Linked DNA regions of Coturnix japonica. The protein of the gene in region 3 purifies or fractionates together with the protein of the main gene of each other region. This does not show direct contact. Links are inferred from orthologs where the notes say so. Each region holds a gene or a part of one and is shown on either strand. Other genes may lie near its edges. The genes, in order: JDP2, NFE2L2 and JUN.

The links.
Region 1: the proteins of JUN (region 3) and JDP2 purify together in Homo sapiens (co-immunoprecipitation; 3 studies listed by BioGRID and IntAct, with this or other methods). This does not show direct contact. The link is inferred for Coturnix japonica from reciprocal best matches to the Homo sapiens genes JUN and JDP2.
Region 2: the proteins of JUN (region 3) and NFE2L2 purify together in Homo sapiens (affinity purification with western blotting; 4 studies listed by BioGRID and IntAct, with this or other methods). This does not show direct contact. The link is inferred for Coturnix japonica from reciprocal best matches to the Homo sapiens genes JUN and NFE2L2.

Annotation. Positions count from the first base shown.
Region 1 is NC_029520.1:34,697,288-34,701,032, reverse strand, and holds the start of JDP2 (jun dimerization protein 2), read right to left. Parts: upstream 2,534-3,745; 5' UTR 2,432-2,533; intron 1-2,431. UniProt on the Homo sapiens protein: Component of the AP-1 transcription factor that represses transactivation mediated by the Jun family of proteins.
Region 2 is NC_029522.1:14,053,233-14,056,977, reverse strand, and holds the start of NFE2L2 (nuclear factor erythroid 2-related factor 2), read right to left. Parts: upstream 2,743-3,745; 5' UTR 2,598-2,742; coding exon 2,568-2,597; intron 2,445-2,567; exon of another isoform or gene 2,327-2,444; intron 1-2,326.
Region 3 is NC_029523.1:23,599,506-23,603,250, forward strand, and holds JUN (transcription factor AP-1), read right to left. Parts: upstream 2,276-3,745; 5' UTR 1,752-2,275; coding exon 807-1,751; 3' UTR 182-806; downstream 1-181. UniProt on the Homo sapiens protein: Transcription factor that recognizes and binds to the AP-1 consensus motif 5'-TGA[GC]TCA-3'.

The DNA.
Region 1 (3,745 bases), on a different chromosome or scaffold from region 3:
AAGCTTTCTGACAGCAGCACAGACCTTGCTGCCTCCCTGCTCTCCTCCATCAGGGGGGCACCCATCTCTTTGCACCACACCCAGGGGCAGCCTGGTACACAGTCTCCTGTCATGCTGCAGCCCCTCCAGCTGCATCACACCACCGGGTCCCACACCTGTCTGATGCAGTGACTTATTCCCATTATGAGTGGAGAAAGCAGTTGTCCTCCTCCTTTCCCAGCATTTCACTCCATCCCTTCTCAGGGTAGTAAAAAGCTATGGATCAGCAGGATGCTATACCCCCACCACTGCAATGCAGTGATTGACTTGGAGCAACCTGTAGCAGCAGGGGGTTGCACAGCACCTAGCGCAGCACGGCTCCTTGCAGCTATTGCAATTAATTACCTGTCTTTGGAGCAGACATTTGTGGCCAACATTCACAGCACCACACTGCACACTGGTGGGCAGTACAGAGCAGGAAGGTGAAAGCTGTCCTATTCCTGCTCAGAGCAGCTGAAATGGAATTAGGGATGAGGGAACACGCTGACCTGAGCCAGGCTGCAGCTCAGACAGAGGTGAACAGCAGATGTGTTGACATCCCCCAAGGCATTCCACAGCCGCATATGGGCAGGATTGGAATCTTTGCAAAGAGACGACTTTCCTCAGGCACAGAACTCCAACCTCAGGGGACAAGGAGGGCTACAAGCCCCAAAAAGCCACGTTCAGAATGCTGACATGGCCAGCTGTATGCTGGTCACTCAGCTACAGCTCGATGCAGTAGCCCTGCTCAGCAGGAGGATCACACAGATCTGCAGCTCCCACTGCACAGCAAACAGCCTGCAGTGCTGGGCTGGTTTCTGGGCAGTCAGTGCAACACAGCAATCCATGCAAGCAGCCCAGACAGACAGCACCAGGCCTGCTGTGCCTGTCCCATACTGGGCTCGCACTGCGGGACACTTGCAGGATGCTACAAACCACAGTTTTCCCTGCCCTGCTGCACAGCCTCCTTAGGGAGAAGAGCTTCTAAGAGCCTCACACACTCGCAGCGCTGCATGCTGCCAAGTACCTGGCCCAGGCCACGCAGCTGAAGCAGCAAATGTCACCATAGTGAAAAAGCACATAGCAGATGCTCAGCACCGCTCAGAACAGCAAAACAGGGCACAGTGCAGCAATGGAGGGCACAGGGAGCAGAGGGAAGATCTGCTCCTCCACAGACAGCAGCACAGCGCAGAGACTGCTGCATCCTGTAGGGAAGGTCACGCTCAGCTGTACAGAGGAGGGAGAAGCATCCACGGTGAGGAGCAGAACATCAACCTGCAGTTAGCGCCCGGCCGACCTCATTACATCCCAGGGACCCAAGGAGCTGACAGCCAGCCACTGGCTGACACAGGGATGCCTTGGACAGCAGCTCCCACCCACACACTCACCCCCACAGAGACAGCTCTCCTCATTTTTGAATCACCAGGAGTCACGCTGAGGATGTGAACTCCAACATACAGCATTCCCAGGTGTCCCCCAAAAGCACTGACCAGCCAGATCCCACTGCAGCTCCGGCAATGGCTTCCACATAGAGTTCTTCACACAAGTCGCCTCAAAACTAGCTAAAAAAAAATCTGTCTGAGCTGCTGGATTTTTGTTTCTGCTGAGCTCCGAGTCCAAACACACACACACACACACACGGTTTGGCAGTGGTTGTGTTCCAGGGCTGGTAACACAAGCCATGAAGCTGGCTGCCAAGACAAGCAACAGAACGAGCCAGGCCCCATTTCATTGGCCACCATACGCTGCATATGGCCCTGGAAGCAGCCAGCACTGTGTTCTCACCCTCCTTGAAGGCATAGGAGACCCTGTGTTTTCAAATACACCTCCACAGGGCCTTCATTAAAGGAAAATGGAAACATAATGGGGCTCTTGCTCTCTTGGTATTTCTCCTTTTCCCCGATTTGCTCTCAAACCTATTTCCGCAGTATGGAAAAAGAGAAATGCCTCCCGGAGCGAAAGAAAGCGACTTCCATTCAACTCCACGCCTGAGCACTACAGCAGACGGCACGGAGCGCAGGGGCTCGCAGGGCCCCACTCCTTCCCCGGGCCCGAGCCGGGCGCGCTGTCCGCACGGCACCGGGGCAGCGCGGAGCCCCACCTGCGGCAGGTGGAGCGCAGCGCGGTGCGGCACCCACCGGCCCCGGGTGCTGCTGCTCGCCGCCCCCGCGGGAGCTCTGCCCCTTCCCGAAGCCAGTCCCCACGCACGACCCGGACGGGCCGACGTGGGGGGTGGACGGCGGCTCCGCTCCGACCCGCACCCGGGGGGAGGGTGGATCCCCGCAGCGCCGCCGGCCCTGCCGTGCCGTGCCGTGCCTCCACCCCGCCCGCGGGCCGCCCCCGGGCTCCGCCGCCCCCCGCCGCCACCCCGGCCCGCCCGGCGACCCCCCGCCCGCGCCGCGCCCGCACCCACCGTGCACGGGGAGCGGGCCGCCGGGGTGCCCGCGGGGCTCGGCCGCAGGGGACGGGCGCGGGCTGCAGGCTCAGCCCCGCCGCCGCCCGGCGCTGCCCCGACCCCCGGGCCCCGCCCGCCGCCGGTGTCGGTCCCGGTGCCGGCCGCCGCAGCCGGGGCGCCTCGTCCCGCCGCCGCCCCCCGCCGCCCCGGTGCGCGCCTCCCGCAGGCTGTGGCGGGCGGCGGGGTGGGTTGCATCAGCCCCGGTTATATAGCGGCCCCGGGCTGCGGGGAGGGGTCGGGAATGCGGAACCGGCTGGGCTGCCAGCGCCACACGTCAGGGAGGGCGGGCGGGGGAGCGGGGCCGCGGGGCGGGGAGCGGCGCGCAGGGGTGGGACCAGCCGGCGGTACCGGCACCCCCGGCCCCACCGCCCCCTGCCCCGCGCTGTGCCCCGGCCCGGTGTGCGCCGCTGTGCGCTGAGCCGGCCGCCCCGAGCCTCGGCCGGGATGGAGGCGAGCCGGGGAGAAGCAGAAGGGCCCGCGGCTCACGGCACCGCTGCTTCGGGCCCCCGGCACCGGCACATCCCGGGGGCCGCTGGCGCTGCAGGCGGATGTCAGGTGGGGACGGGGGAGCAGCCGTGGGACCGGGGCCTTCCCGATAACTCATTTGCATGGATGCCAATCGCTTCCTTCCTCTTTCTCTCACCGCCGGCCCTCCCTCACCTGCACCTGCCAGGCTGCTGGGGAAGCACGGCTCACGCAGAGCCCTGCAGACCCGCTGCAGGAACTGAATGCACCCGTATCGATGCTCTCCCAGAGCAGCTCCGTCTTCCTGCTCCGGGCTCATCGATCATCGCTCCCATTCAGTTCCCACAGAGCTCCTTTCTGGGCACGATCACGCTGCCCATCACTGACAGTCCCCCCTCCATCAGCACATCCCAGTCCCTCCATCTGTGCCCCGGGAACAGCAAACCGGGCGGTGCAGTTGGGTCTGAGCAGGGGACAGAACTGCACAGCGCAGGACAGGTCCAGCTCTCATCTCACACGGGAATTCTCCTCGCTCTCACTGCCGCTTATGGGTTTTGCCTCATGTAAACACAAAACATGTTTGCTTTCCAGATATAGTTTCATTTGGGCATAGGAATTCATTGAGAATTTGCGGTTTCAGTGGGTAAAAGTGAACAGAAGAGCCCCAGACGAGCAGAGTGCTTGCTGAGGGATAGGGAGCGCTGGGCAAGCACAGCCGCCCGACTGGGGCTGCTGAGCTCCACCACTGCCACAGAGATAAATGAAGCACATGGGAACAGCAGCACCTGCAAGGGAGCCACGGGAGCT
Region 2 (3,745 bases), on a different chromosome or scaffold from region 3:
AGGAAAAAACCTATAAGAACTGAAGTATTCAGGGGCAAGAATAGCTAATAATAATCTGATAATTTTAACAGTGATCTTGGCTGTCATGGTGATACATAACCTTCTGTATTGTCATTTAGGATAAGTGCTATACTCTCTTTGCTTTTTTCGGTTTAAGAAAGAAAAAAGTAATGGACAGAGAGCCAAATTTTATTCTAGCTCATGAACTCTGGTGGGAAACATACACAAAGCTTCCCAACCACCCACACACTCCTATAAAAATGTCTCAAGTTCTTTAAAGCACGAGATGATCCAGCTGCTCTCTGCTTATACTGAATGTTCTATTTTGTCCCAGTTTGGTCTCTTCCACATATTTTTCCAAAAAAAAAAAAAAAACCAAACAAACAAAAAAACAACCAAAAACAAAAACCCCAACTTCCAAAGCCAAAGTGCTCTCCTACTTTGAGTTCTAACCGCAAGCTTCTTCAAGTCCCATTTTCAAATGCAACCAACTCCTTGTATTTCAAACAACTTCTCATGCAATGTAAATTCCCAGCACATTTTAAATACAAAATACAGAACAGCGTCCATACGATAGATATGTACTACAATAATAAAATATCCAATTAGCTGTTGCATTGAAAGGATTCTCATGGTCATCTTTTATTAGTCTACATTTCTTTCAGCCACAGGTACTGCACTGCATTGTATCTACCACTGGTTTAACTGAGAGATATTCTGAAGTTCTGAGGAAAGATTTTTCAGTGCAGCATGATAAGCAGGGTAGGCACATCAGAATTAAAAGGGTCTAAAAAATGCATTTCTACTTAAGACAGTGCTTGTAGTATTCTTATTACTTCCACCACTCTTCTCTGTAATTTTAGGAGTCATGGAATCATTAAGATTGCTCTAAGACCAAGTCCAACCATTCACCTAACATCACAAAGTCCATTGCCAAACCACATCCACAGGTCTGTTAAATAACTCCAGCAATGGCAACTCTACTGCCTCCCCAAGCAGCTTGTTCCAATGCCTAACCACCCCTTCCATGCTCTTGATATTCAATCTAAGCCTCCTTCAGTGCCACTTGAGGCAGTTTCCTCACATCCTATCTCTTGTCACCTGATAGAGAAGACCAGCACCTTTATCACTGCAACCACCTTTCAGGCGGCTGTACGGAGCAGTGAGACCTCCCCTCAGCCTCCCCTTCTCCACACTGAACCACCCAGCTCCTTCAGCCTTCAGTTCCTTCTGAGAGACCAACAAAAAACATAGATGTTTTCTGATACCGAAACGTATCCACATATATAGATGGACAAATAGGTATCCATACAGATATCTTAATCTATCTACAGACACTTATGCTTAACAGTTATTGAGCTAAAAAACACATCAAAGGCCTGTTGTCAGGCCTGAGCGGTGCACTCATTTGTCACTTCCTGCATGATCGGTGTCGTATGGAAAGAACAGCCCATTATGGAACAGACATTCACTAGACAACCTTATGTAGTACGTCACAAAAACAGACATGTGATACCTGTGTAAAGCCCTACAGACTAAAGAGATACCTCTAATGTAACTAGAAACTCTTTTCTAGGTAGAAAAACCCACGCACTGAGCAGATACTCAAGTACATGGTTACACTGGCCTTCACTTTTAGTGTTCAGTGCAAACACTACATGAGAAAGTAATCTTGCTCACCTTCTCACAAGGCTCAGTGCTTAGTGAGAGCTGATGAGTTTGTCATGTTGTCTGACAAGGCTAGAAGCACCAGGCCCAGCCATTTCAGCACCTTTCAGCTTACTGAAGCAGTAAACAATTATGGGTACATAATGCTTTTGTGAACTTGACTTGAAACACTTTGACTCACGTTCCAGAGCGTTTTTCCTCAGCAGTTTTGATACCTGTGTCATTAGTAATAGACAACATCCCAAATGAATCCCATCCAGCATTCCATTTAACCAATAAAAGATAATCCATTAGCTACCTAAAGACACAGCGCCTTTACAGTACAGATCTGACACAACCCGCGGCTGTGGGGCTCGAGCAGCACAACGCGGACAGGTGGCCCCACAGGAGGAGACACAAGAGTCGCCCCGGCCCACACCGAGGAGGACGCTGAAGTGATGCGGGGTCCCTTCCATCGCGGCCCCCACGGCCCCTCACAGAATCACACCCTCCCCGCGCCCTTCTCGCCCCGCACCCCACGACCCGACACGGGCAACACGCGGTTGTGCAACTGCCCCCACTGAGGCCGCGTGACAGCGGGAGGCCCTCAAGAAGGAACCGGACAAGTATTCGGGGCGGGGCCGGGCCGGGCCGAGCTCCCCCCTCGCCACGGACTGACCTGGCCCCGAACTGCGCAGCGGGCAGGGAAGCACCCCCCGCCCGGGAGACGGGGAAAGTACCGAGGGGGCGGGGCCCGGCCCCCGCCGTGACTCAGCGCTGCCCCCGGGGCGGGGCGGCACCACGTGCCCCGCCGGCCTCGTGACCGCCCGGCCCGCCCCGCCCCAACGGCCGGGACAAGAGGGAGGGGGAGCCGGGGGCGCGCAGCCCCGGTTCCCGCCCGGTGCCCGCGGCGCCCTCACCTGTGCGGCGGGCGGCAGCTCGATCTCCATGGCGCGGGGCGGCGGCGCGGACTCGGGAACGGCGGCGTGGAGCTGTGGAGCTGTGGCGGCTCGGCCGGCACCGCCCGCGCTCTCGTTCCGCCGCTGTTTGGGGACGGGGACGGCCCGGCCCGGCCCGGGCCGAGCCAGCGGCGACCGCCGCGCTCCGCCCCGACTCGGCGCAGCCACTCAGCGGTGCCCGCGGAGGCGGCTCCTTTCCCGGCAGTGGCGGCGGTGCCGGGAACGCGACCCTCCCACGGCGCCGGGCACCGCGAGCGGCCGGTTGTTCTGTCAGCACTGCTCTCGGCCGGCTGTTCTGTCAGCACTGTTCACGGCCGGTTGTTCTGTCAGCACTGCTCACGGCCGGCTGTTCTGTCAGCAGTGCTCTCGGCCGGCTGTTCTGTCAGCAGTGCTCTCGGCCGGCTGTTCTGTCCGTGCCTCGGTACGTTCCCCAGGTGTGTGGTTTCACCTTCTTTTCGTGTTCTACGTTATTAGTCCGGTCCCGAAACACGGCTACGAGCCACTGGCAGTCTGCTACATTGACACTAAAGGCACCTTTCCAGGCTCTTTCTGGTTGCGTCCTCCACACGTGCTTTCCTATTACATCAGGCTCTCATCCCAGGGTACTGTAATTCCCTGGTACCTGTGGTTTCTTGCACTGTAACCCCCGTTAATACTACGGGTGTCGAAATAGTTGGCGTGCGTGTCTCAGCCGGCTGACTTACAGACCCGAATCTCACGTGATGCTTTGGGAGATGTCATGGCAGTGCCCGTCCTATGGGATGGCAATGCTCCTCGGTCAGATGTTCTGCTGGCACGGCGCTGCCTTAGAAGAAAACTCGATTGCTAGTGGCTTTCTTGCACTTAAAGCGAGCCCTTAGGCATGAGAGGGACTAACGTTTAACGTTATCTGATAGCGATAAGAAAAATAGGAATGCCTTTAAATTAAAAAAGGAGAGATTTCAGTCAGGTGTTTGGAGGAAATTATTTACTGAGAGGGCCGTGAGGTGCTGGTGCCCCATCCCTGGAGGTGTTCAAGGCCAGGTTGGATGGGGCTCTGGGCCCTGATCTGGTAGTTGGCAACTCAGCCCATGGCCAGGGGTTTGAACTGGGTGATTTGGCAGGAATTTTCCAACCTAAGGCATTCTATGATTCTCTTC
Region 3 (3,745 bases):
CATGCCTGCACTTACAGAGCGAGTTTCACATAATCCCTGCCCTTTAGAGTCCAGCATTAAGGGCATTTTCCTAACTCACATACTAGCAATAATAATAATAATAATAATAATGAAAAAGGTGTGAGGAGGAAATGCATTTTAAGTATTTTATTTTTTTTTAAATATAATAGAACCTTCTAGATTTTTTCCAGAAACAGAAACATTAAAAAAATTATACTTTATTACAAATGGTAAACTCAGAGTGCTAAAAAAAAGCCTCTTATTTACAAACAATACTGGGCAGTACCCAAATAAACAACATAAAAATAACTTACAAAGTCATGAAGTAGTTTATTGACATTAATCAACTTTCATAAAATAAAATAAAAAAGGATATGTACATACACCATTTACTTGAAGGCAGGAACAACAGTTCTTGGTTGTTTATCAGCCTCCCACAAACCTCCCTCCCGCTTTTTGTTTGTTTGTTTGTTTCTTAAGGAATACTACATGAAGCAATCTACAGTTTCTATTGCAGTTTAACCTTTAATACTGAATGATCATCGAATGTTAGGTCCATGCAGGTCTTGGTCAATGTTAAACGAAGATCTGTCGCCTCATGGGAGCAGGATCAGCACCTCGGAGCGGTGCCGGCTGCTTCACCAACTCGAGCTGAAGGCTGCCCAGTCTTTGCACACATGTGCTTTGCAGCACGCAGGCAGGACTCACAGCCTCCCAGCTTCTACCGTGAGCTTTACGCGTCCGCCGCTTTTGGTTTGTCGTTTAGTTATACCACAACATCACAGTTCCTATTGAAGTCAGTCTCTTCAAAACGTTTGCAACTGTTGTGTTAGCATTAGCTGGCACCCGCTGTTGACATGGTTCATGACCTTCTGCTTAAGCTGTGCAACCTGTTCTCTGAGCATGTTGGCAGTGGATGCCAGCTCTGAGTTCTGGGCTTTCAAAGTTTTCACTTTTTCTTCCAACCTGGCAATCCTTTCCAACTTCCTTTTCCGGCATTTGGACGCCGCGATTCTGTTTCTCATGCGTTTTCTCTCGGCTTTGATTCTCTCCTGCGACTCCATGTCAATAGGGGACAGGGGAGGGGTTTCCCCCGGCATTTCAGGTACAGTCTGAGGCTCTTCTTTCAGAGCCTGAAGCCTGGGATGCTGCACTGGCATCTGGGGGTTTATGTGATGCTGCGGCGCGTAGCCCATGCCGTTGGCATTGTAGTTGGGTGCGGAATTGAGCGCGTTGGGGTTGAAGTTGCTGAGGTTGGCGTACACCGGGGGCTCGCTGTGCAAACTCGTGTTGAAGCTGCCGCCGCCGGCCATGGAGGACACAGGTGCCATGCCACCGCTAACAGGTTGCGCGGCCGAGGTGACGCTGGGCAGCGTGTTCTGGTTGTGCAGTTCCGCCAGCGCTCTCACGAAGCCTTCGGCAAACCCCTCTTGTTCGTCGGTAACGTTCTTGGGGCACAGGAACTGCGTCGGGGTCGGCGTGGTGGTGATTAACCCGTTGCTGGACTGGATGATGAGCCGCTCCAGCTCCGGGGAGGCCAATTTCAGCAGCCCCACGTCGGGGGAGGTGAGGATGTCGGCGTTCTTGTTCCGCAGGTGCGGCTTCAGGCTGCTGGCCGGGTCGGACAGGTTCAGCGTCATGCTCTGCTTCAGCACCTTGGCGTTATTATATCCATAACCGCCGCTCTCCGGCGGCGCGAAGCTGGCGTTCAGTGCATCCTCGTAGAAAGTAGGCTCCATCTTTGCACTCATAGAACAGAGCCCAAAAAGTGGCGCCGGGAGCCGCCCCACACCGCTCCCGGCCAAGCGGCTTGGGGGGAAAGAGCAAGCCGGAGCCTTCCTTACTTCTCGCCGGGACAACGCCGCTCCTCCCGGCGCGGGCCGGGCCCGCCGGGCCTACGCTGTGCGCTGTGCGCTGTACGCTGTACTCTGTACTCTGTGCGCTGTGCTGCTCCCCGGGCCGCCTCTCCGCGCTGTGCCGGGCCGGGCCGCTCCTGCCGCCGTTGCCGCTTGTACCTCCCGGCTCCGCGCTCCGCTCGGCCGTGCCCGCTGTGGCGGCTGATTCTCGCTGCCGCCCGCCCCGCTCTGAGCCCGCTCGCTCCGTGCAGCCCTTCACTTATCAGCGACCGGGAGCCCGCTAAAAATAGCCCATGATGTCACCCCGCGCGCTCCCCATTGGCTGCCGCCGCCCGTCCCGGGGGAGGCGTGGCGCTGGCCCGGCGCGGTGCATGGCAGCCGGTCGCCATGGACACCCCGCCCCTAGAAGCTTCTCAGCGCCGGCGCGGGGCCTTGTGGGATGAGGTAATGCTGCCGGCGGCGCGGGGCATTGTGGGCTGACGTCTTGTTTTTGAATATCTGGTTACCGCGGCCCGAGCTCCGAGCGGGGTTGGGCGGCTCGACGGCCTCGTACCAACCAACCGCTGCCCTACCGGGTACCGGGGCACCGCGATGCCGCCCCGAGCCGCCCCGCGCCCTCAGCCCGTGCGTTGTGCTGCGCTCGGGGCCGAGATGCTGCGTGCGGCGGGGCCGGGCCGCGCTCCTCCGTTCCACGTCGCGTTGAGTCCCGCCGCATCGCCGCCTCCTCCCCCCCCCCGGTCCCGTTGTTGGTACGGCCCTGAAGGTGGCGCTCCGGGGGAGCCCTCACGTGATTTCCCCGCCTCGCTGCCCCCGCCGCTTCCAGGCAGGGCCGGGGCGGGCGCGCACAGCGCCGGGGCCGCCCCCGCCCCGCACGGGGGCACAGCGCAGGGCGGGCGGCGCTGGGGTGGGGGCGGCTCGGCCTCGTCTCCTCCCGTCCCGGGGAGCCCCGGCGGGCGGGGACGGGCGGCCCGGCTGCCCTCAGCCCCGCCTGCCTTCAGCCGCTGCGGTGAGCGCTGTGTCTGTTCCCAGGGCCGGGAGCTCCCCAAAGTATGAGAGGGGAAAAAGCTGCCGGGAAGGAGCCTGGCTCTGGATGGGTTTTCCTAAAGTTGTCCTCCCGGTTGTAGAGCTGTGCTGGTATTAGTGTGTGAGCGCAGCTTGGCCAAGGGGAACGGCTGGAGATGGAGGGATCCGGTCGGGGAGGGAGGTTTGTGCTGCTCCACAGCTACCGGGGACTCGCAGCTCGGCTGATGGACGGGACGGGAACCCGGGGCAACAAGTGCTGCCGCTGCTGCTTCGCTGCTGGGCTCCATCGCTTTGTGTGACATACGAAGCTGACAAACTTAAGTCTCGGTTTGAAAATGCACTTTAAAACTCTTAAGTGCTATTTTTTTTCTTCTAGATGTAATAACATAATTAGCACTTAAAGTACGGGAGGGAGCAATGTAATAAACAGAATCAAAAAGAGCTGTGAATTAAAAGTGAATGTCTGGATGCACTGACTGATAGAAGTTACTGCTCCTTTTATAGAGTCATCTCCCGGTCCTCCCTGCTGTGCACACCTGGCTGCACTCAGTGTATCCACTTCACCCATGTGCTGGAATCACACAGCCAATACCTGTGCATGTTTGTGCTAACAGTCAAGTGAATTAGTTTGCCCACAAATGTGGGCCTTAGTGTTTGCTGCAGGTGTGTGCACAGCCTTCAGGTAGGCAATGAGCACCTGTGTGCAGGTAATTCCAGCTGCCTCTGTAGCTCCAGCAGCAGTTACTGCATGTGTATAGGAAAGCCTCTGAAAGTCGTCTGTGTTAGAAGCAGCTTCCTAGCTCCATCCTAAGCTTTACACACAAGATAAATAGAGGCCACAGCCCGACTCCTGGCACAGGAGTTGA